Linked DNA regions of Drosophila melanogaster. The protein of the gene in region 1 interacts with the protein of each later gene in a pairwise test. Each region holds a gene or a part of one and is shown in the gene's direction. Other genes may lie near its edges.

Region 1 (4,842 bases):
TAAAGATTCCAATACCGTTGATATTAATAGCTTGGATCCCGATAAGGCTTACATTCAAATTACTTATGTTGAACCCTACTTTGAAACATATGAAATGCGTCATCGTGAGACATACTTTGAGCGGAATTTCAATATAAGTATGATATGAATTAAACAGATAATTTAAATCGAAATTTAAAATTATAATTTTAACATTTTTGGTTTATGCAGAACGTTTTATATATGCCACGCCTTTTACTAAAAATGGAAAGGCACATGGCGAACTAAATGAGCAGTGTAAACGGAAAACGATTTTGACCACGGCGAATCACTTTCCATACGTAAAAACTCGCATTATGGTAATTAGCCGACAGCAAATAGTCCTGGAACCGATTGAAGTGGCAATTGAAGTAAGTTATGTTGTAAAATCCCAAAAGTTAATAAAATTAAACGTTATTGCCTAGGATATTCAAAAAAAAACATTGGAATTGGCAGCTGCCACGAATCAAGAGCCAGCAGACCCCAAAATATTGCAAATGGTACTGCAGGGATGTATTGGAACCACTGTTAACCAAGGACCGATGGAAATGGCGAGTGTGTTCCTTTCCAATTTATCCGACGGAACAACTGTACCGACAAAACACCAAAACAAACTTCGGTTGTGCTTTCGCGAGTTTTCAAAGCGTTGTGCTGATGCTTTGAAAAAGAATCGCAATCTAATACTTTCAGATCAAAAAGATTACCAACGAGAACTGGAACGTAACAACGATCGGTTCATTGAACGATTGACTCCCTTTATTACTCTTACATCAGTTCAGAATCATGGCGTTGTCAAGTAAGTTTTTATTGTTATACAGTGAAAAGGAAAGTTACATTGTGTATACATATGTATTAAAATTCTCATGTCTTTCTTATTTTGTTCCTCAACGGAGTGCTCTAAATAATAGACATAAGATGCTTAATTAGATATTTATAGAATCCAGCCTAATATAGATATTACTTTACTATATGACTATATTAAAAACCACCAGTGCAAAAAGTAAACATTAACTTATATAATTTTTTATTTCTTTTCTAAATACATCCAATAGGGCCAACGCGTACAACAACAAAAGTACTCCTTTGAAATGGTAACTTCTTGCACACGACTTAGTCTGCAATCAAATTATCATACTTTTGGTCTTTCATGTCTAGCGTATCGGATTATTTTAAGTAAATCTTACATTTTAAATTATCGATCTCTATAATTGCTAATGTAATAGCATAACTTTTTTATGCATCTAATAGATTAAGCAAAATATTAAAAAGCGAAAAAAATAAAGTTTACACTTTTTTACTTTTACGAAAATAGTTAAAGCAACATGTTTCAAGCTACAAGGAGGTGCAGTTAAAGTGAGTGAAACAAATCGTATCCTACAGCAACAAAATTTAATTGTCGATTACCAGAAAAGGGAAGTATTCGAAAATGATAATCCTCGAATTTCGCATGGGTCGTTAACGGTTGTTAGATTGACTAAGAGTGAGCTCCGTGAGGCAATGGTATCGAACGCGACCTATCGGTATTCGCGAAACTTTCGAGTATACTATCGATGTTTTTATTTATCGATAGTGTCGGCTTTAATTACACGTAAACTCAGATAGTTTGCCGGTTAAAAAGACAATAAATAAATAAAAATGAGAATCAAGTATTGTTGGCTCGCAACGCTAGTATTCATAGCCGCTGCTTCGGCGTCATATTCTCCCGAAAAGCCTGTTCCGCCGCCCTGCAGGGCATGTACCCAGCTTGTTAGCTCTTTCAGGGCAGGACTCGAAAGGACAAAACGCGGACACGCGGGCGGGGACACGGCATGGGAGGAGGAAAAGTTGCGTTCGTACAAGAACAGCGAGGTACGGCTAGTGGAGATCCAGGAGAAGCTATGTTCGGAAGGAGAAGTGATAAACAAGGATCACTGCCACAACCTGGCTAACGAGCACGAGGCGCTTCTCGAGGACTGGTTTATCCACAAACAAACAGAGAGTCCCGACCTGCAGTCATGGCTTTGCATCGATCAGCTAACAGTCTGCTGTCCGCTGAACACCTACGGACCAGACTGCCTGACCTGCACCGAGTGCAATGGAAATGGTAAGTAATGATAACCAAGTATTACAGGCCACAACTTACATAAGTGTGTCAACTTAAGATTGCCGTCTTCGTTAATTTTACCCACATGACAAATTTCAGGAAAATGCAAAGGAGACGGAACTAGAAAGGGTAACGGAAAGTGCAAATGTGATCCCGGCTATGCGGGTCCAAACTGCAACGAATGTGGACCGGAGCACTACGAATCATTCCGTGACGAAAAGAAATTGCTGTGTACACAGTGCCATGCGGCCTGTGGGGAAGGAGGCTGCACGGGAGGTGGTCCCAAGAGCTGCCGCAAGTGTAAGAAGGGCTGGAGCATGGACTCGGAGGCAGGATGTGTCGACATTAATGAGTGCTTGGAGCAACAGCGTCCAAACCCTTGCCGACCACAGCAGTTCTGCGTGAACAATGAGGGCTCCTTTAGTTGCCTGGAGTGTGATCGATCTTGCGATGGATGCGATGGTGATGGCCCTGACATGTGCAGGAAGTGTGCGGATGGCTATGAGTTGAAGGAAGGAAAGTGTCATGGTAAGTAAGACAGAAATTTAATAAATTTGCTTTTAAGCAACGCATTGTCCACTGTATGTATTGCGCCTCCGATCATTTAAGATATTTCTGCGGAGCAACGCAGCAACTACGTAAGCTTTACGCGAATGCTCACCTACTTCGGAATGTGCGTGGCCACCTGTGTCATCTTCCAGAGCTCTACTCATATTGCCTGGGGTTGCATTGTTGGGGCGGCAGTGGCAGGGTACATTGCTGTTTCCGAGTACTGGATCAACTCGGAGGCAGGAGGCGGCCACCAACCCGAAATAGATACAAAACAGTTGGAGGAACTAATAATGAAGTCTTTATAAGTCAAAAGACATGTCAACATTGCTTTCCTTTTATGATATACACGAGCGTTTTGAAAAGCATAATCTTTTAACATTCCCCCAAGACATCTAACGATTTTTGTACTTCGTTTGCAGTCCGCAGTGATTCAAACTCCACGGTGCTCGGTGAAGAGTCCACGCACGAAGAATTGTAAAAGTAACCAAAAACGCACACCTTTTGTAGCCAATTTTACTTTAATAGGTAATATTATCAATTGATATGTAATTATAAATTAGAATTTCAAAAAGCAGGGCATGACCATATTTTTTTACACGTACCACACTTAGATATTTATTTGGTTTCAAAAATGTATAAAATCACAAATACAGCATATATTCGTATGAATAAATATTTTTAACTAAAATTACTGACGTAGTGTGCTTTTGTGACGTCCAAATTTTCATTTTGAAGACCATCTGTCGTGTGCAATGTAATACTGCTTTAAGCGGATTAATAAAGGAGCTACAGTGATACGAATGAATCATTGCATTTGGATCTTACAAAATGAAAATTTGTAAACAAAAAATATACACAAGATAACAACCATCACCGCGCTATATAAATAAAAACTCTAAAAATATTAACTAGAGGAACTTAAGCATTACATACGATCGTTCCCTTTGGCTTCTAAAGTTATCCAACACAGTCCGAAACGGATACAGAGCTCCCCCCACAACAGCCATTTAATCCCTACGACCGTGTCAAATGAATTTGACTTGTGCTGGCCGCTAGTCCTATCTCTTCGTCCGATTCATCTGAATCCAATGGACTCACTCGAATGGCTTGGTACCACTTGTTAGTCAGGTCGGCCATCTGTGACTTGCACTCGTGCAATTCCTGACTATTGAACCGACGTGTAAAAAACGGAATAAAGTACTTGCGATCCATGCGCCCAAAACGATCGCGCGCTTGAGTAAAGGTGACGTCCTCTTCCTCGGTGAGTTCAGACAAGTGTTCAGAGTCGATTGCCTGGCCCCATTCGCGAGTTTTCGATAGGGAAATAGATTTTGAACGCTTCCTACCGCTGCCGTTGCGTCGACCTCCCTCCTCAGCGGCATTCCTTCCAGAGCCGCGTGCCCGCCGTTTTTTTCCTGGCTTAAGGTACTTTAGCAGAGGCATTGTGGAGCCCCCCAGCACTAGCGTGGTAAATAGCACAATGATTAATCTGAAATTTTAATTCTTCAATGACTGAGCATTATTTTACAATCCGGAATATGCTTACGTTGTTGTTATGATGACGTGTCGTTTCTCCTGGCTGTCAAGATTCAAGTGCAAAGATAGCGCGTAGGAAATCGCTCCGCGTAGGCCAGAAAACCACATAATGAACTGCATCTTGTTATTGATCTTATGCTCGCGAAATTTGTTGACCAAGAACGCGAGCGGAAAAATATTGCAGGCGCGGCCAATTAAGCAAAGCACAATGGCCCATATAACAAAAGATAGTTCAACTTGGTGTTTAAAAGAAAAGATTGCTAATCCCAGATAAGCAAACACGCAGGTCTCAGCAATGAAAGCTAGTGTCCTCATCGTCTGCTGCATGGTAATTTGGGTAACCTACGATTAAAAAAGTTTTAATAATATATAAAATAGGGATATCATATGACTTACAGTGGATAGGTTGAAATGCGTGTAGTGGGACATGACGATTCCGCAAAATAGTATAGCCATAATACCTATAGTTGAAAAAAATGTTTAGCTTTTAGAGTCATAGTCAACAACATTGATATACCGCTTAAGTGTATTCCCTCTGCCAAGACGTAAGGTGCGTAAGTAAACATTAGCATCATCGCGAACTCGAGGGATGGATGCTTTCGTAAATCGATGTGCTTCAGAAGAAGAGCCGAAATTAGTGCAAATATGACTCC
Region 2 (5,743 bases), on another chromosome or scaffold:
GTCCCAGACCTCTAGCACTGGATCCACAAATCTAAAGGTGGCCCTGCCGTTTTCATCCGCTCGGATGTTGCCAAGATCTCCGGCGTGCCGCTCCTCTGCCCCAGCTGCAGGGCTTCCATGTGGCGACTGGCGGGGATTGTAGTGTTCTCCGACCGACGAGCAACCTGCGGAAGTGTCACCACTCTCGTGAATATGTAATCCGTGCAGTCCAGGCGATAGACCGTCCACAACGCCATCCACAACCACTCCAGGCTTCTTGTCTGCGGTAATGGTGGTAAACCGAACCACTCCCTGGATTGGTGTCTTGTCCACTACACTTCCTGTTGTGTTTATAAGGGCCACCGCCGACTGGCCGCCGAATCCGGAGAGTACGGCCCGGACACCTGTGGCTTCTATCTTGTCCTGAATCTCTGACCAAGGTCGTTGGGTTTGGATTATCACTCGACCTTCCTGGGTGTCAATTTCCACCTGGCCGACCCCATCCAGCGCCGAACGGAGGGCACCGGCATAGGATTCGTCACCTCTTCGCATCTGCACTGCAAATTCGATCTGCACATTAACATGGAAGCAAGTTTCCTGACCCGAATAACATATACTTACCTTAATGGAGCTCATTTTTATGGTCAAAGTGCCGACTAACAATGATAAACAAACTTTGGTATCGATGGCCGTCGATAGGTTCAGACAAATCGCGCCTTCTGTCATCGAAGAACGATAGGTTCACACGGAACGAAAGTTTAAGGCGTTTGTAAACCACTTATCCAATAAATTATAACGTTGAACTGATATTACTAGTTACGTATTAGAACACAGATGTAATATTTTTATCGTAGAACGTTTTACATTTACAAAACCAAAGTTACTAGCTTCGGTTTTGAACTTTTGCATAAATTGCGTGCTTTTTGATGAAGAAAATGAATTCTGGTATTTCTATTTAAGTCACTCCATATTTCCAAAATGACTATATTAATAATATTTGTGATGTTTGAAATTTATATAGATTACAACTATATTTTAAGTGAATAGATTAAAGCTTAATTTAATAGGGCTAAGTACCTTGGATATAATCATTGGTTTTCTGTTTAGTTTGACCAACAATTTTATAATCTTAAGCTGACTTTGTCCAACTCTTCTGGACCGATTCAAAACGCTAACCCCGAACTAGCTTAGATGCTAACTTATTTAATTTCCGTGCTAATTTTCAGACCTGTAGCTCCATTCACTTCATATTACGTTTTATAATTTTGGCTTAACTTTTCTTTATGGCCGCCGACAGTTTTAATCAATGGCCATAAAGAGTATTTTTAAGCCAAATGATGCTAATTTTTTGGAATTGATAGCGCTAATTTTTGTCTACAAAAACCGCAAGCGACAGATGCTGGCTTATTGAGGCCCAAAAAAAAAACGTGCAACCAATATGAATGAAGCTTTTCCATGCGCGCCACTTTATTGCAGCCAATTGCGCCTTGACTTTCATTGTGCAAAATAAATTAATTTCACTTGGACCCCGTTATTGATAGCAATTTAAAAACAATTGAGAAATATTTAATATTGCCTTCAATTGAAGAACTGTAAAAGGAAGCACTACAACAAAGAATTATGATAAAACCGTTCAATTCCCAAAAATTTGGCGAGTCGGCACATGGCTTTGTCAATTAAGGCCTTTCTTAGCACGTCGATCTAGGGATAGAGATGAATGATATCGGTGGATAACAATTAGTCGCTATTAGAGTACCGTTACTAGACCTTAAGTTCAACACTAGGAATGTAAGAAATTTAGTTTCTTTCCCAATGGTTATGTGGCTATTCACATTAGTAATATTATTTAATGTTTGTATTAACTTATATATAAGTTGAGTTAGTTCCGCAGATCCGTAATAATTTTTACAAGTCTGAGATGGTCCACCCTAACGACAGATCGACGCCATACGCCCTGAGCCACTCTGAAGAGAAGAACGCCCACACAAAAAGGCAATGTTCTCTTTGGGGCAGCGACTAATGGCAACAGCTGTTCTTGTTGATAAATAGCATAAAGATTTTTGTCGCCTTGTTTTGTGAGAGAGCAACAAATGCAAGTCAGCCTCTGAAACAATCACCTGGAAGGATACGTGTGTCGGGAATGTAGATAGATAAGTTGGTCTGGATAGTGCGTGCCACGGAAAATTAGCCTTGCCTTTGTTTCACTTGCATTCCACAAAGACGCACGCACACACACACGTGCACAGAATGACCCTTACAGTGGGGCTTTGGTATTGGTATTTGTATTTGCGGGTCGAACGCCACGCTCTTTTGGAGCGAGAGTGAGAGAGCGAAGAGAGAGAGAAACATAACGGGCTAGTGTATTTATTTTAATATTAGCTTTGTGACGTTCGCTCACCAAATCAGTATTTTTCGTACCATCGGCGTTAAAACACATGTTCAGCGATTTAGTGCGGGAGTGTAAACTAATCTGAGTAACAACAACAGCATCGTCGGCAAAGCAACAACAACGGCAGCAGAAAATTTTAACACGTTGACGCTTTTTCTAGTGTTTATAGCGAGCGGAAAAGCTTACTAAGCGCGTAACAAGCGAGACCCCGAAATCTTTTTTCATCTCGGTCTTTTCGCCTTTGCGTCTTTGAGTGTGCGTGCCAAAATTCAAATACGTCATCGACGCGCGCAGCCTTAAATCGAAAAGGAATGAAATAATTGATATACACAAATGCCAGCGAAAGATTGAATTCAATTGCAGGAGCAACAAATAGCCAAACAAATTGAGGAAAACAATTCCTCCAACCGCACAGCGACAACTTCAATTAATTAACTTGTTATTGTGTAGTAGCAGTCCGCTTCTTGCCATTCACCGCGAAACGCAGCCACACAAAAGAACGTGCAAAACAGCTGGGACTCGAACTGAGAGTAACGGAACGTCGAGCAACAAGTGCAGCAGCAGCAGCAGTAGCAGCGAAAACAGCAGCAACATCAGCATCATCAACAACAATACAAAGCCCTTTCAATTGCTGGAGAGAGGGGTGGTCCATGTGTCTATGTGCACTCCAATGAATACGAAGACAACGGCCACTTTTGTTGTTGCCACAATCAATTAGAGTGATAGCAGGCGGCAGAGGAAAAGCAGCGCGGCAGCAGCATCCGCATCAATTTGCTGTCAGCATCTGAATCTTCGGGTCGGCATTATTCCGAAAAGTGTGAATGTGAGCGTAGTTGCTCCCGTTCCGCCTCCGTAATCGCAAGTGCTTGTTGTTATTGTCGCACTCGTCTGCGATCCGCGAACCGCGATCTTTGCTTGTGTTTGTAACGGCGACGTCGTCTTGATTGGAACGCTCTGTATTTCTTGACTTTTTTCGTGCTTTTTTGATTCCGAAACTGGTGTATCTGTAGTTTCCCGCTAACGGCGAAAATTCACACAACTCATTGATATTTTAACCTCGTGTCCGCGTTGGCTGCCGCTCGACCAAGGTTCTGCCGCACAAAATGCTCGTCTCTTTGGGCTTTTCGAAGCCTCGCTTCGTCGGATTAAAAGTGCTCCTCTAGCACGCTCGCAAGTTAGTCCGGCCACAAAAATAAGAAAACCCAAAACTTTAAAATATAACCATAACCCATTGAATTGGCAGAAAAAGTTTTCACCACCCACCGAATCGTACCGTTATCGTTATCGCGAAACAGAATCCACAGATAAAAAACGTTCCGTTTCACTTCGTCGTAAATACAGTGCTAAATCGTGTGAAACAAACTAAAGTCGCTGCAAAAACAGCCTAATTTGTCTAATGAAAGCCGAGAGCATTTGTGAATAATTAGCCCCGAAAAAAAACCTGTTCGCAGTCACCGCAAAAATTAGGCCCCAATAAAAAGTGACGATCCAAGAAACTGGCATCTCGCCCGCTTGATATATAACACCCCAACACAAACGTAAAGTTCGCGATAACACCTATACAAAATAAAAAAAAGAGAGAAACCAAATCCAGCGAATCAACTTCAGAGTAAAGTCGCAAAGTCAGTGCAAGCCAGAGCAAAATCGTCGAGCAAACCGAGTAGTTGTCCAAACGTTAAGTCGCAAAAAGTCTAGGAAACCACCCCTACAATCGCTATCAGATTTCTAGTGCTAATACGATCGAAATAATGTCAGCCTTCTGACAGTGTATAACAAATAAAGTTACATAATCACCGTTGCAAATCCAATTTTTTTTTGGAAGCGAACCCCCAAAAGTGCCCAATTGGAATGTCGAATATCTGACAGTGACCAAACAAACAGCGAAATCAGTCGAAACCAAACTCAAGAGAGAACCCCAACTGCAGAAGGAAAGCGAGCGAAGTTGTTATCAGTGAAAATATACACACATATATATTCGATTTCAGCGTAAACAACTACTATATAATGTCCGTCGCCATCTGACAGTGGTCCAAACAACCAGCACAAAGAGCTAGAAGTCGCCGCAGCCAGTGACAAGTTTCACCACAGCGAGTGAGACCTGTACCGTAGAACCAACACAAGACACTTAAGCTTGCAACACGGGCTAACCAATTCAGCGATAAATGGAGAAATCTGAAATACGACTGCAACGCATGTCTAATGAATATCAGTCGCAATCGAGCTATATGTACCTCCGGACCAAGATGCTGTTAAAAATCGAGAATACCCTACTTCGAAGCCATCGTCAGCGCGAGACCACCGGTATCAAGAAACTATACAATTCGTTTTTCGTATTGTTTTAATTTGCCCCCCCGGCCAGTCCCGAACCCTCTCAAAAGGCCCCAAGAACACAAAACGCACAAAAGCAAAATTTACAATTCCACTCAACTGTGAGCCAAGTTAGAAAAAGTTACAAGAAAGCAAGTTATACATGTTATACCTACGTTAAATAAATATATGAATAAACTAGAGATATTATTTGGTTGTTAGTAGAACTCACGTCAAGTGCATATGGTTAGCCCTCGTATATCCAAAGTGCTGTGCGACGAACGAACGATTAAGTAAATAAGTGTGTCATATGAGCATTTTGAACAAGCCAAGCCAAAATGTTAGCCTAAGCAAGTAATCAGTAAGTGTTGGTCGATCAATATACGGTTTCTACTTCGAATATTACTATTACCATCAATCACTTTTGTTGCATTTCGCATTGCACCAAAAAACTTGAGCAAAATTGCTGGCGAAATTACTCCGGTCGGAAGTGGTGTTTCGTAATACGGGTGAGAGCGATCACGGTCAAATAATTCAGGAGGATATCAAACAACAAACAACAATAAGCTTGGACTAATAGAGACCAGAACGCGATTCTAACGCCGTTAACTCACGTACCGAATGGCGCTTTCGTTTCTATCCCAAAACTCCGGTCTGTTGGATTTACAAAGCATATTCGATCCACAATATACTCATCATCAACAACAACAACAACAACTACTACATTTGAGCCACCACCCTCAACATCACATTCAACAACACCAAAATCAACAACTACAACAACAAGCGGAGCAAATTCAACAACATCAACAAGAACGCACCCTTTCAACAAAGTTCGATTTGAACCTGTTCAACGAACTCGACCAAATGGAATTCAACAATTTAAATCGCAGTCAATATCAGAATAATAATAATAACAACAGTATCAGCAATAATCAAAACTCCAACAACAATACCAACACCACTAACGGTATCAGTGAAAATCTAAATCAGGTAAGTTTTTTGGGGAAAAATCAGATATATGTATGGTTAAACATTTATAGGCTTATAAATAATTGCTACTGATTT
Region 3 (4,967 bases), on another chromosome or scaffold:
GCGGCGAATCTGCTCAAGGAAAACGCCGGCAAGAAGTGGCGAACCAAGGCGCCGGGAGAGAAATCCGCATACGTTGTGCTGGAGTTCGAGGAGCCGCAACAGATTACGGGCATCGATATTGGCAACGAACATGCCGCCTTCATCGAGGTGCTGGTCAGTCGAACAGGCTGCCAGGCGGACGATTTCCGCGAGCTGCTGCTATCCAGTTCGTTTATGACGCCCATCGAGAGCAAGAATTCCAGCAATCCAAATCGCGTTCGCTGTTTCAGTAGCACTTCGCTGGCGGAGAGTGCACTGCCGGAGAAGTGGAAGCTGCTTCAGATAGTCTGCACACAGCCCTTCAATCGTCATGTGCCATACGGGCTCTCATTCGTCAAGGTGCATGTAGTGGCTGCTGCGGCGCCTAAGGTCAAATCCCTAGTGCCGCAGGGTGTTATGCAATTCGGGACCTTTAAGCTGCGCGAGGAGTCGCCGGACTCGGAAACGGACAATCAAGTGAACAGATTTCACAGCTGGAAGAAGCAGACGCAGCACAAGTCGCCCGCGATCAGTGCGACCTCCACAGCAGCGGCCATTCGGGACGCCGGCTCCACGGCCCTGCGAAGGCTGAGCGCTGGCAAGGTTTCTAGCCTGGCTGCATCGCCCAAAACCTCGACGTCGCCATCACCAGTTCTCAATGCTCTGCGATCGGTTTCTCCGACGCCATTGGATGCCAAGCCCCTGGATCGCAATCGAGCTTCACTCTTGTTCGGCGACGATGATGAGGACGTGAAGGACGCTGAGGTCAATGCAAAGAAACAACGGCTGAGCAAGCATCTGGAGGCGGACAAGGATCGACGGCGATTGGAGCAGGAAAAGGAGAGGGAGAGCAGAAAGAAAAAGTCAAGCAGGCACTCCTTGGATAAGTCAATCAGCAAAGAAGACAAACCACCGGCAAAGGAGCACAATTCGTCCTCCAGAGAAAAATCCACAGCCAAAGAAGAGAAAGAGCAATTACGAAAAGAGGAAAGATCGCATTCGAAGGAGGAGAAGTCCAGGAGGAAGGAGAAATCTAAGCATGATCACAGATCTTCGGACACCTCGAATTCCAAGGAAAGTTCGCGCCCAACTGCGCAAAAGCGACATTCATCTCCCACCGCAGTCGCAGTAACGCCCGCCAAAAAGCAAAAGATCGTGGACACAGCGATTCAATACCGTCCCCTTAATCAGTTACTCAAGGGTGTGGTCCTGGTCATCAGTGGCATACAGGCAAGGAAATTCTTTTGATTGCATCACAACTCGATTTAAACCCATCCCTTCTGCTTTCAGAATCCCGATCGTGCAGACTTGCGTTCGAAAGCGGTCGCCTTGGGAGCCAAGTATAAGGCTGATTGGGGATCAGGATGTACCCATCTGATGTAAGTGAAGTCCAGATTGATCTAGTATGCGCCCGCTAATTCTTAAAATGAAACCCAAACAGATGCGCATTCAAAAACACACCGAAATACAATCAAGTGAAGGGCAAGGGCAAGATTGTGACACGCAGTTGGATCGAGAAATGTTATGAGCTGAAGAAGTACCTGCCATGGCGACGTTACGCCCTGGATACCAATGACATTGGCCAGCCGGAGAGCGATGAGGAGCTTTGCGATGAGGCGACGAGGCCACGGCGCGATTCCAGCAAGGATGATGTGGCAATGCTAGAGGATAGCAAGCTAACAGCTCTAGCGGATCAGAATGATGTGGAAATGAATCCAGATGCCTTATCGGGCATTGATACGGAAGATGAACTGCAGCGCGTGGCTGAGGGTAAACTCTCTGTTGTTCTGCCCTGTTTTTTTTTAGATATTTTATTGTTTGCTTTTAGAAAACAAAACGAAGAAAGCCAAACTAAGGACTACAGTAAAGACGAAATCGCAAGATATATACGAAGTTAGTACCGATGAAGAGGATTATCTGGAGCTAAAGAAGAAACAAATCGATTAGGTGCCATTTCTAACCTCATCTCATATTTTGTATACGACTTTATTACTTAAATTGCTTGTAATGTGCAAGTATCATATTTTTGTACTTTGTTAATCGAATATGCTCGTTATCAAAAATTCGACAAATTCAAAATAAGTGATTAGTTTGGACCATTTTGAAAAAAGAGCCCAAGGAATAAATATTGATATTATAATAGATCTATCGCATGTTCATTTAAAAAAAACTATCAAATAAACCACCTCTGGGCTAATGCGATGGTCCATCTCTAGCAGAAATTCACAAAAAATGTACTAACGCATAGCACGGTACTACAAGGACTTTCCACCCATAGGCATGCTATGGTTAAGCGAAGAAAACCCGTTTACGCCCAAAACTATGCATTAAAAAGACTAAAAAGATAGCGAAAGTGCACAAGTGGAAAACCAATTTGCAGCCCCCGAAAAGAACAAAAAAAAAAACAGGTGGAAAAGCAACAGCTGTCCGCTTTTGACAGCTGCGCTCTCCGCGCTCTCCCACTCGTTGGCGAGAGCTAACGGTGAAAACTCTCTCACTCGCCTGCAGTCGTGTATTTGCTGTCGAGCGAGTAGAGAGCTTTTTTTTTGGGAATTTAACAATCCAGCGCAACTATTGTTTATTTATGGTAAATATCTATGGCTACCACTTGCGTTTTCGCAATGCGATTCACCCAAGCATCCTGGCCAACGCAGTTCCATCCGGATTTGTGCCACTGCAGAGATTCCACTCCAACCTTGCTGAAGCGAAAACGAGTGGTGAAAAGTTGTGGAATTTGGAAAAATCGATACGATTGAGCCATAATTAAAAGTATGCTGCTAACTTGCACTTCACCCCCCCTTTTTTTTTTTAGAGCGTGCCAGTCGTTGAAAAATTGAGTTATTAACAACAAAAATTTTGGGTAAGAAAGTCGTGCTGAAAACGCTGAGAAAAAGTGCAATCCAAATGATTTCGAAGCTATTCAGTGAGAAGTGGAACATTGGGCAGCCTGGGAGTATGCATCAGTTTTTGCACATACCGAATATCCTTCTAATTTTTCTCATTGGTAACTCAAATGTTCCTCAATTCTCTGATGATATATTTTTTTTTATTATCGAAATTCATTTGGAATCATCTTTTTCTCCGTAGAGCAGAATGCCCTGCCTTCTAACGCTTGCGTTCCATTCGCAGATCTAGACCAGAGAACTAAGTAACCAAAGGCCAGCATGGGTAACGAGACCTCCCTGCCCATGGACATGTGTTCCAACTTCGATGCGGACGAGATCCGTAGGCTGGGCAAGCGATTCCGCAAGCTGGATCTGGACAACTCGGGTGCGCTGAGCATAGATGAGTTCATGTCGCTGCCGGAATTGCAGCAGAATCCGCTGGTGCAGCGGGTTATCGATATCTTCGATGCGGATGGAAACGGGGAGGTGGACTTCAAGGAGTTTATCCAGGGAGTGTCGCAGTTTAGCGTGCGCGGCGATAAGCTGTCCAAGCTGCGATTCGCCTTCCGCATCTATGATATGGACAATGATGGCTACATCTCGAACGGGGAACTCTTCCAGGTGCTCAAGATGATGGTGGGCAACAATCTGAAGGACACACAGCTGCAGCAGATCGTGGACAAGACCATTTGCTTTGCGGACAAGGACGAGGATGGCAAGATATCGTTCGATGAATTCTGCTCGGTGGTGGGCAATACCGATATTCACAAGAAAATGGTTGTCGATGTTTAGATTGAGCCACATAATGAGTACTATATATATACAATTGTAGATATGATACAATATGTATAGCCGATTTTCCGTAATGAGTGTGTGTGTGTGTGTGTGTACCTTCACTTCCCTTGAAACATGTTCAGCTTTATAATAAACGGTCTGTCTGTGAGTCTGTGAGGGCGTTTGAGGCGTGCCAAAAACGAAGCAGTTTACTCAATTTATTGATACCTATCGCATATATATAGAGTACACTTTGTTCCAAACGATCCAAACCGATCGATCTCTATCATCCACAGAATGCAATGAATTGTGTCTTATACTCATACTTGAAACCACCGGCAACGGACCACTCAACCAAAGAACTCATCTATACCCCTCCTTCCATTCCTCCTTCCATTCGAAATGACATACTTTCGAGGTTCGAACAGCTCTACGATTGGGATTGTTCGCATCATCTTAAACTAGTTTGTACTATATCCTAAACTCTACGTTCAATTCAAGCCTAACACTTAAGTTCATCTCTCGACTAAATGTTGTGTATAAGATATGTAAAAAAATCAAAAAAAAAAAAAAAAAAAAAATTGACAAAAGAAAACTACAACAACAACTACAATTAAACACTGTTTATCGCAAAGCTAAACTCAAAACCCCCAACAAGCGTTTACTTGGTGATTTTTCGTTGTACTACCACTATCTGTTGATGGGAGGTGGACGAATGTGGGCTGGGTTCTTTGGCCGGCGGGTTCAGATGCCCTCAGAGTTCCACGGTCCGCGAGTCCTTGGACGAAGAACACGTGCGTGTCGTTCAGCTCGGCGCCCGAAATTCCGGATTCCCGAAAGCCGACCCCGTAGAAGATGGTCACCACAAAATGTGGGAAGGAAGCCACCGGCCGAAAGTAACCGAAAACTTTTTGGCCGTTGGCAACGATTAAATGTTTTGTAGGTCACCGATTTTCCAACTACACGTGTGTGTGTGTGTGACGTCCCTCATGTGACAAGACACACCAACATACATGTTACGTATACGCCACGTTGTTTAGAACAAAGCAGTGGAAGAAGTTCATCCATGTTGAGATTAAAATTACCTTAGTATAGAGCAGAAATGTCACAAATGAGTGGGAAAAGTTTATCCATTGATATAAAACATCTATCTACTAATGAAACATAAATATTACGTATACGCCACGTTGTTCAGTACAAATTTGCGAATGCGGAGCCTTCCTGTGGATTTAAAATAGAACATAAATATCGCAAAGCATTAAGAGATGATAATCCATGTTGATATAAAAC
Region 4 (7,596 bases), on another chromosome or scaffold:
GTGAATTGCCGGCCGCACTGTTCGCAAACACACTCGCGTTTACGCTGCAGTCGCTTACGCTCTATGATCTGCTCCTCGGTCATATTTTTCCACGTAACGTACTGTTTTTTCCGCTTGGGTTTTGTGGTCGCTGGCTTCGTTGACCGACCTGCTGCACTCTTCGATTCGGGCAGCGGTGTGTTTGGGTTCGATGATACTTCATATTCGTTTATAGTTTCATTGAAATAGGAACCGTTTTGGGGCTCCATGTAATCGTTGTTATCCGAGTTGCTGTCGTCGTTGCAAATGCTCTCAAGTTCTTTCTGTACACTTGAGATCAGAGATTCGACATCTTGAGAATCCTCTTCGGCTACTTCAGCCATATCTTGAAGCGCATCAACATCTTCAACAGAATCAATATAATTATCCTCATCCAGATCATGATGAGCATCACTATCATGATCCAAAACTTCTTCTGGGGATTCCACAATGTATTCATCGACTTCCCCGAATGGATCGTTCAGACAATCCGGCGGTGATGCCATCTCCTCAACATCTTCAGCCGGTTCCTTCGCTTCGGGAGATCTACGACGATGGACGAGCTGCTTCTGCGTTAGGATGCACCGCTCCCGGAACAAAATCGCTTGGTTCAAGTCAAGCGTGCAGCAGGCGCATATGCTGCTGGGCAGCTCTGGATCGTTGTGGAGCTGCAATCACAGAAAATGCTGCACAAATCAAATGGAAACCATTTTTCTTACATACTGTTGTGCCAGTGACAAGATTTATGTCTTGCAGCATCTTCTCGTTCTCAATATGAAAGAGATTCTTGGGCATTTTATTGTAGATGATGCTGCCGCAGGTCCGGCACTGGAGCGCCATAATGTTAGTTGAAAATCAACCGAAGTTTAGCCCAACTTCAGTTTAATTCGAATATAAACAACCAATTGTTTTGTAAACGCATCCACTACACATATGTATGTATATATATTGTGATGCAACAGCTGGTTTTATTATCGACAAAATCGATAAGTGCGGCAATGCCATTGTGTGACTTAAATGATTTAAAAAGTGCAGTAAACCATTATGGTACTCTTATTAAATGAGATTATAAAACATATTTGTATTTATGTTACTTCATAAGGTACTAATCCCTGTGCAAAAACTCTAAACAGCGTTTATGCGTGCAAAAGTTAGAGTGACCATGCAAATAGCTTAACGACACATTTCGCATAAGCTGCTCGAAACGTAAACAGTAAACAATTATTCAAAAACAAATCAAAGTCGAGATGCGAATTCTGAATTGCCGCATTTGCTCTAGATCAGATGCCCCAATAGACCTTTTTGGTCCAGGAAACGGTCATCTAGTTCGTCAAATTCACTCCATTACTGGGGTGGAGGTAATATGTCTAAAAATATTCCTTAATCATGGCACTTAATTTGCTATTTATACTTTCCAGCTAAGCTGCAAGAAAGAAATATCCGGCCAAATGTGCACGACTTGCCTGGACAATCTGCAGGCAGCCATTAAGTTCCGCCAGCGCTGCATCATTGCCGAGAAACAGAATCTGGAAAGGATTGAGTGCGACAGCAAGGATTGCTCCACAGATCCAATAATATACGAAGACATCGATGATAACCAAATTGAGAGTGAGTTGGACGAGTCCATTCTATGTCCTGAAGTCAAAGATCTTCCAATGCCAAGTGCTGAAAAGGTCTCAGCACCGACTAGTTTGAACCATCAAAAGTCAATTGGAGGAGGTACTGGTCCATATGTATGCCCTGATTGCGGAAGGATCATTAACAATAAGTCAAACTTTCAAGAGCACACGCTCCGGCACACAGGCATCAAGAATTTCCACTGTGTTTTTTTGTAAATTATCCTTAACCTCCTTTGGGCTAGTGCACCTAAGATACGATTTTTCTCCTCAGGAATTGTGAAAGGAGCTTTGCAACTCGAAAGGAACTGACTAGCCATACGCGTATCCACACGGGCGAGCAGCCATACGTGTGCGTCTACTGTCCACGTCGGTTCTCCTCTTCAGGCGCTCGCCAGGAGCACCATCGCCGCCATCGGAACGAACGCCGCTACGAGTGCGACACGTGCAAAAAGAGTTTTGTAAGCTCCGGATGTCTCAGGAAGCACAAGATGATCCATGTGGATGCGCGGAATCACTAGTGGGCATTTCGATTTCTGCCAACTCTGCACATTATTTGTATTACACGTTTCAACACACTTTGATTTTACAGCTGCTACGTATGTCAGAAGCACTTCAAACGAATCTCCCATTTGATGACCCACCTGTCCAGCAATATTCATAAACGCAAAGAAGAGAAACTCACGGAGCTAGCCATTGAACAATGAAGCTGCCTATCTAGCCATTACACTAATTAGCTATCGGTAAGAATTCTAAAATTCCGCGTCCTTTTCTTTAACAAGGTAGACGTACATTTAAGTACAGGTATTCGCATAAATCCATTTTATGCGAATATCTAGCATATTTGGTTTTACTTTTTGTTTCCCTAAGGAATAGAAGAAGAGCCGCATCCCTCCCGACTTCCAAACGTTTTTAGATTTTGATGTAAAACGTTACAAGTTATAAACCTAAAAAAACAAAACATATTTACTTGTCCAAAAAAAGAAGATTTAATTAATCCTGTGCCATTCGATTATTATTCCATGTTGTAGCTTCCACAAACGGTAACAAAGTCTTCGACAGAGCACAAAGAAAAGAAACAATAAAAAACGCACACTCATTTAATGGCCAAAATGATGTTAAAACTACCAAATAAACGCACAAAATCAAAGATTGTAATCGTGTTCCAATTTTTTTCTCGAATATATGGACGTAATAAAAAACATTACAAAAAATATTTGTGTTTTTGAACAAGTTCTTTAACCAAATAGTAATAAATCAAATCCGATTATTTTACACATCCGGTCTGACCATTTGTACTCTTTTTTATTTTACAATTTTTATATATAATTAAATGTACATTAATGAATTATCTAACAGAAATTGTATTGCATTGTTTTCGACTAATAGCGCCCCGTCCGTTCGTTTTTGTGGTGTATTACAGTCTGTTGGTGGGTCATGGTGCCCAAATGCTGATCCAACTGGTGCTTGCGGGAAAAGGTCTTATTGCAGACTCGACAGCTGAAAAATTAAAGGGAATTTAGGGTTATACATGATTAAAGCAGTCAATGGACCTACAGAAAAGGCTTCTCGCCCGTGTGGGTGAGCATATGGTTTTTTAGCACGTTAGAGTAGGAGAATGCCTTGCCGCATGTGGAGCAAGTGAAAGGTCGCTCGTTTGTGTGTGTTCTGCAAAAGGAACAAGTATAGTTTATATGAAGATTACTATGAGGAATTGCATCTTCACCTTTCATGACGAATATTGGAGCTGCGATCCGCAAACGAGCGGTTGCAATATTTACACAAGAATGGTTTCTCGCCCGTGTGAACGCGGATATGGCGATTTAGCTCGGATGGACCCGCGAAGGATTTGCTGCATATTCTGTAAGCGGAATAAGATTTACATAATATAAAATGGTTCAGATGATAATTTCAGATACTCACTCGCATTTAAATGGTTTCTCGGCCATATGACGACGCATATGAATGTTGAGAGCGGCTCGCTTGGAGTAGATATTGCCGCAGATTTCGCACATAATGTTCGTGGAGGATACTTCGGGAGATGATTTGAAGCTAGCTTGAACAGGCGGACGCTCCTCGCTAAAACTGCGTGGGTGTCCGGAGCTAGCACCGCGAGGTCGGCCACGTCCACGTTTAGTCATCCGCGTTTTACGCACCTTAGCTTTGCGGCAGCGCTCGATGGGCTGGTAGTCGCTATCGGTGCTATTCGGCACCAGCAAGTCATCCTCGTCCAGGTCGTCCACTACAGTGCTAGTCTCGTAGGCCTGCGACGTTTCCCCGACACCATCCTCCAGGGGCTCCTCCATGATGTTCTCCATTCCGATGTCATCCTCGACACCGTCGATGAAGTCGTTGGCCGATTCGTAGATGTACTCAATGTTGTCAGCCACTACGTGCGGCACCTCGTCCGTTGGCTCCGACTTCATCTCGGCCTGACATGGTACCGGGTCAAGTGGGATGTTTATATGTGGCCCATCAACTCTATACGTACCTTGACTACATTGGTGGCAAATGTGCGCTCGCTCTCCTGGCAAAGCTCCCGGAACTTGTGGGCACTGGTCAGTCGCTCCACGCAGCTGTAGCACAACATACTGGGGATGTTCTGCAGCGGCACCAGCTGAAAGCACAGAGTGGGTTAAGTCGCAGGATTTTACATTTGCATCCACATGTACCTTTATGCTGCCCACTTCTTCAATCTTGCGCACCAGCTCCCGGCACTGGGCGTCGTTGTCATCGAACAGGGGCGCCATCGCCTCCGAGTTGATGTCCTCTGTCAAGCAGATTCGGCACAACATGTACTCGGGCATTATCTTGCACGTCCTGGACGTACGTATGCTTGCAATTCTGAAATAAACAAGCGTCTTGGAACTTTTCCCAGGGTTGTCATGTACGCAAAACGATAAATGGCTATCGAACTTGCTATCGGCATATCGATTGAATAATTGATAATAATTAAATCTTAATTTTTTTTTTTAAACTAACAGGTGGGCCCTATTAAATATTTAAGCTTGAGTCACGCAATAAAAATACAGTTTTAGAACTAAATGCAAAAAAATTTGGAATGATAGTTGAAAACTGTTACTAATTCCGCGTACCTGACAACCCTTTTACTTTTAATTCACTGCTCTGGCATTTGAATCGGCATTTGACGCGAAAGAGGGACTTCCTGCGGAAATAACGATGGAAATCAGCATTAAATGGAGCATGTGCCGCACTTGCCGCAAAAAAGGAACGCAATCCACGCTGCAGTCGCTCTTCGAGTCCAATGCCCACAAGCTGTTGATCTCGTATGCCGGCACATCTGTGAGTACTCGATTTCTGTTTGGCTTCCAGTTTACCAGTTACAAATCCTCTCTCCTAGGTGAAACCGGATGATGGACTGCCGGATCAAATTTGCACAGTCTGCTTGATGCAACTGGAGGAGGTGGACAGATTTCTTAGCGCGTGCAAACAATCCGACGCGCACCTGAGAAGCCTCGTTCGTCAAACTCTGTCCTCCGCATCGGCATTTGAGACGCTGGAGGATAAGGACCAGCTTGAACAGAAAAAACGCGCCAGGAAGCAGAACATTTCGGGGAGACTCATCGAAGAGAATCCTATTAACTTTAAGACTCAAGAGAATGCATTGGAAACGACCAAAGATGATGAAATCTTACCCATAAATAAATTTTCAAGCGATTTCGTGTTCGATCTCAACGTGAATGCGGAAAACGAGAAAGACATACACCAGGAGGACTATACCATCAGTGATATGGATTTGGACAGGGAGATCTCCGATCAAAATTACTCCGAAACGTATTCGCAAGAAAGCAGCGCTGCTACGGACAGTATTCAAGAGACAAGCGAGGATTACCATAATCTAGAGCCAAGTGCCGACTACGTGATAGATCTAGGAGTGGCCTGCGAGCCGGACAAGTACAGATGCAAGATCTGCAGCAATACATACCGCTGCTTATCTCAGCTAAATGCACACTCGCAGGTGCACCGCAAGGAAAAGGACCACCAGTGCGAGTAAGTATCCGTGATATATCTTAACATAATATTTCATATATAAAATGTATGATTCAGGGTTTGCCAAAAGACATTCAGAGCCGCCTGCAACCTGAAAACACACATGCGGACGCACACGGGCGAGAAACCTTACCAATGTTGCTACTGTTCGCGCCGTTTTGCCGACAACAGCACTCATCGCAAGCACGAACGGTAGAATGGACAAAAACTATATATATTGTGTACAGCATTTAAGTTCCAATGTTGAATTTCTTCATTTCAGTTTGCACACGAATGAAAGACCCTATGCTTGCAACATATGTGGAAAAACATTCTCTCTGTCCTCCTCTCGTAACGCTCACTACTACCTGCATTCGTCTGAAAAGTCTCACAAGTGTCTTATGTGTAAAAAAGAATTTCGGCTTAAGCACCAACTTACAGCGCACGAGAAGTCTCTTGCGCACCGTCTGATAGCTAAGGAGTACAGCGACGTGGTAGAATAGTTAATAAAAATAGCTGGTCTATTCTGGAAAAGTGGCTTTATACTACTTATAATAGATAACCCTAGTTCCTCAATTAATTTACTATATTAGCTCTCTAACATTTCCGGAGAGCTGGGAATGGTTTGCTCCATTTTGTTGCGGTGGGTTAGCGTTTGCAGGTGAGCTTTCAGCTGGTGCAGCAGAGTGAATGACTTGCAACAGATACCACAGCTGAAAAGTTCAAATTATTAATAAAAAGTGCAAATCACTAGAAAGGATTACTCTCCCTTACTTGTAATTCTTTTGGGCGGAGTGCGAAAGGATGTGATTTTTGAGGATGGCTGTGTGCGTAAAAGTTTTCCCGCACTCCTGGCAGGCATAAGGACGCGTGTTGGTGTGGACCCGTTCATGGCGGACCCGTTCGCTGCGATCGTAGAAGTGGCGGTCGCAGTACATACACTTGTATGGACGGTCGCCCGTATGACGACGGATGTGTGCTCGCAATTCGCCCATTTGTCGAAAAGATTTATTGCATATTCTGAAAGCAATAACATTTTTGTAGGATAAATTTGTTCCTTCCTAAACCTTAATATCACTTACTCGCATTGGTGGGGCTTGTACTCTGAATGGGTCATCATGTGGGCCGTGAAAACAGATTTCTTGTAAAAGACGTTTCCGCACAGGATGCACATGAACTTCTCCTCTTCCTTGCACTTTGGCTGGTTCCCCCTTTCCTTGGCGTTGATATCCTTGCGTTTGAATTTCAGTTCGGCGTCCGGTTTGCGAGGCCTTCCCGGCTTTTGTTTGTCCATTTTGAAGCTGGGATGTGGCGAAGGAGCGCTTGACATGAGAAGTTCCTCGTCCCCGTACTCAACCTCATAAAACGTGTTTGCATTGGATAATTCCTCGACAAGCTCACCCTTATCATCAATGAGTTCTTCCATTTGTTGATCATCAACGTAGGAGTCCATGTGGGAAATCAGAATCTGCTCAGGACTTTCCGTATTAGGCTCTTCGTCCTCCTCAATCGATTCGTTTATGATAAATCCGTTAAAATCGAGAACTTCCTGGGACTGATCCTCCTGCTGTTCATCCCCCTCCTCTATTGCGGTGATCTCTTCCTTCTCCTGATTCTCTGTGCCTAGTTTCAGATGTAGGTTCTCGTACAGATACAACATATACTCGGCATCGCTTGCCTGGGCAAGAGCCTCTGGTCTCTCCGAGGAACTTGTTTCCCAGTAGACCTGCGAGTTCAGGCACATCTGGCGAAAGTTGAACCACATTTGGACGAATTCGCAACAGCTGTTGCAGGCCTTCTCGGGCAGCTGCGGGGATTGGCGAACCTGGGGGAGTTGGAGTAATGAAATGATACATATAACCCATCTGGTCAGCTCCATTTACCCTAATCCTACAGCACAGCTCCAACTTTTTCCTGAGGTCACTTTCGCCTTTATCCCCAAACAGGCAGATCATTTGGCTCTCTTCGAAAT

Evidence for each region.
Region 2: the proteins of Creld (region 1) and gem interact in a two-hybrid assay, tested with the Drosophila melanogaster proteins (one large-scale study listed by BioGRID).
Region 3: the proteins of Creld (region 1) and CanB interact in a two-hybrid assay, tested with the Drosophila melanogaster proteins (one large-scale study listed by BioGRID).
Region 4: the proteins of Creld (region 1) and Zaf1 interact in a two-hybrid assay, tested with the Drosophila melanogaster proteins (one large-scale study listed by BioGRID).

The regions. Positions count from the first base shown.
Region 1 is NT_033779.5:100,806-105,647, forward strand, and holds Creld (cysteine rich with EGF like domains), read left to right. Parts: upstream 1-1,574; 5' UTR 1,575-1,653; coding exon 1,654-2,101; intron 2,102-2,200; coding exon 2,201-2,629; intron 2,630-2,710; coding exon 2,711-2,958; 3' UTR 2,959-3,072; coding exon of another isoform or gene 3,073-3,131; 3' UTR 3,132-3,337; downstream 3,338-4,842. Other genes in the region: Zir (Zizimin-related), read left to right, coding at 1-137, 211-389, 444-814, 1,071-1,113; Nhe1 (Na[+]/H[+] hydrogen exchanger 1), read right to left, coding at 3,668-4,142, 4,200-4,531, 4,586-4,650, 4,707-4,842.
Region 2 is NT_033778.4:10,121,910-10,127,652, forward strand, and holds the start of gem (gemini), read left to right. Parts: upstream 1-2,383; 5' UTR 2,384-4,530; coding exon of another isoform or gene 4,531-4,710; 5' UTR 4,711-5,296; coding exon 5,297-5,668; intron 5,669-5,743. Other genes in the region: Ccs (copper chaperone for superoxide dismutase), read right to left, coding at 1-549, 601-615; CG46319 (uncharacterized protein), read left to right, coding at 4,531-4,710.
Region 3 is NC_004354.4:5,330,223-5,335,189, forward strand, and holds CanB (calcineurin B), read left to right. Parts: upstream 1-2,276; 5' UTR 2,277-2,296; intron 2,297-2,519; exon of another isoform or gene 2,520-2,605; intron 2,606-2,830; 5' UTR 2,831-2,878; intron 2,879-3,147; 5' UTR 3,148-3,182; coding exon 3,183-3,695; 3' UTR 3,696-4,227; downstream 4,228-4,967. Other genes in the region: XRCC1, read left to right, coding at 1-1,248, 1,309-1,397, 1,460-1,788, 1,847-1,965. UniProt on the Drosophila melanogaster protein: Calcineurin is a calcium-binding and calmodulin-binding protein found in all cells from yeast to mammals, and a calcium-dependent, calmodulin-stimulated protein phosphatase.
Region 4 is NT_033777.3:11,620,256-11,627,851, reverse strand, and holds Zaf1 (ZAD and architectural function 1), read left to right. Parts: upstream 1-2,207; 5' UTR 2,208-2,226; coding exon of another isoform or gene 2,227-2,341; 5' UTR 2,342-2,377; exon of another isoform or gene 2,378-2,583; intron 2,584-2,665; exon of another isoform or gene 2,666-2,801; intron 2,802-2,903; exon of another isoform or gene 2,904-3,016; coding exon of another isoform or gene 3,017-3,134; 5' UTR 3,135-3,191; coding exon of another isoform or gene 3,192-3,302; 5' UTR 3,303-3,360; coding exon of another isoform or gene 3,361-3,495; 5' UTR 3,496-3,497; intron 3,498-3,549; 5' UTR 3,550-3,557; coding exon of another isoform or gene 3,558-4,066; 5' UTR 4,067-4,125; coding exon of another isoform or gene 4,126-4,251; 5' UTR 4,252-4,306; coding exon of another isoform or gene 4,307-4,441; 5' UTR 4,442-4,460; exon of another isoform or gene 4,461-4,513; intron 4,514-4,618; 5' UTR 4,619-4,814; coding exon 4,815-4,937; intron 4,938-4,995; coding exon 4,996-5,645; intron 5,646-5,702; coding exon 5,703-5,837; intron 5,838-5,907; coding exon 5,908-6,127; 3' UTR 6,128-6,213; coding exon of another isoform or gene 6,214-6,337; 3' UTR 6,338-6,386; downstream 6,387-7,596. Other genes in the region: CG18764 (uncharacterized protein), read right to left, coding at 1-686, 742-858; CG6813 (uncharacterized protein), read left to right, coding at 1,266-1,376, 1,437-1,849, 1,909-2,154, 2,227-2,341; CG14711 (uncharacterized protein), read right to left, coding at 3,017-3,134, 3,192-3,302, 3,361-3,495, 3,558-4,066, 4,126-4,251, 4,307-4,441; CG14710 (uncharacterized protein), read right to left, coding at 6,214-6,337, 6,399-6,644, 6,707-7,449, 7,508-7,596.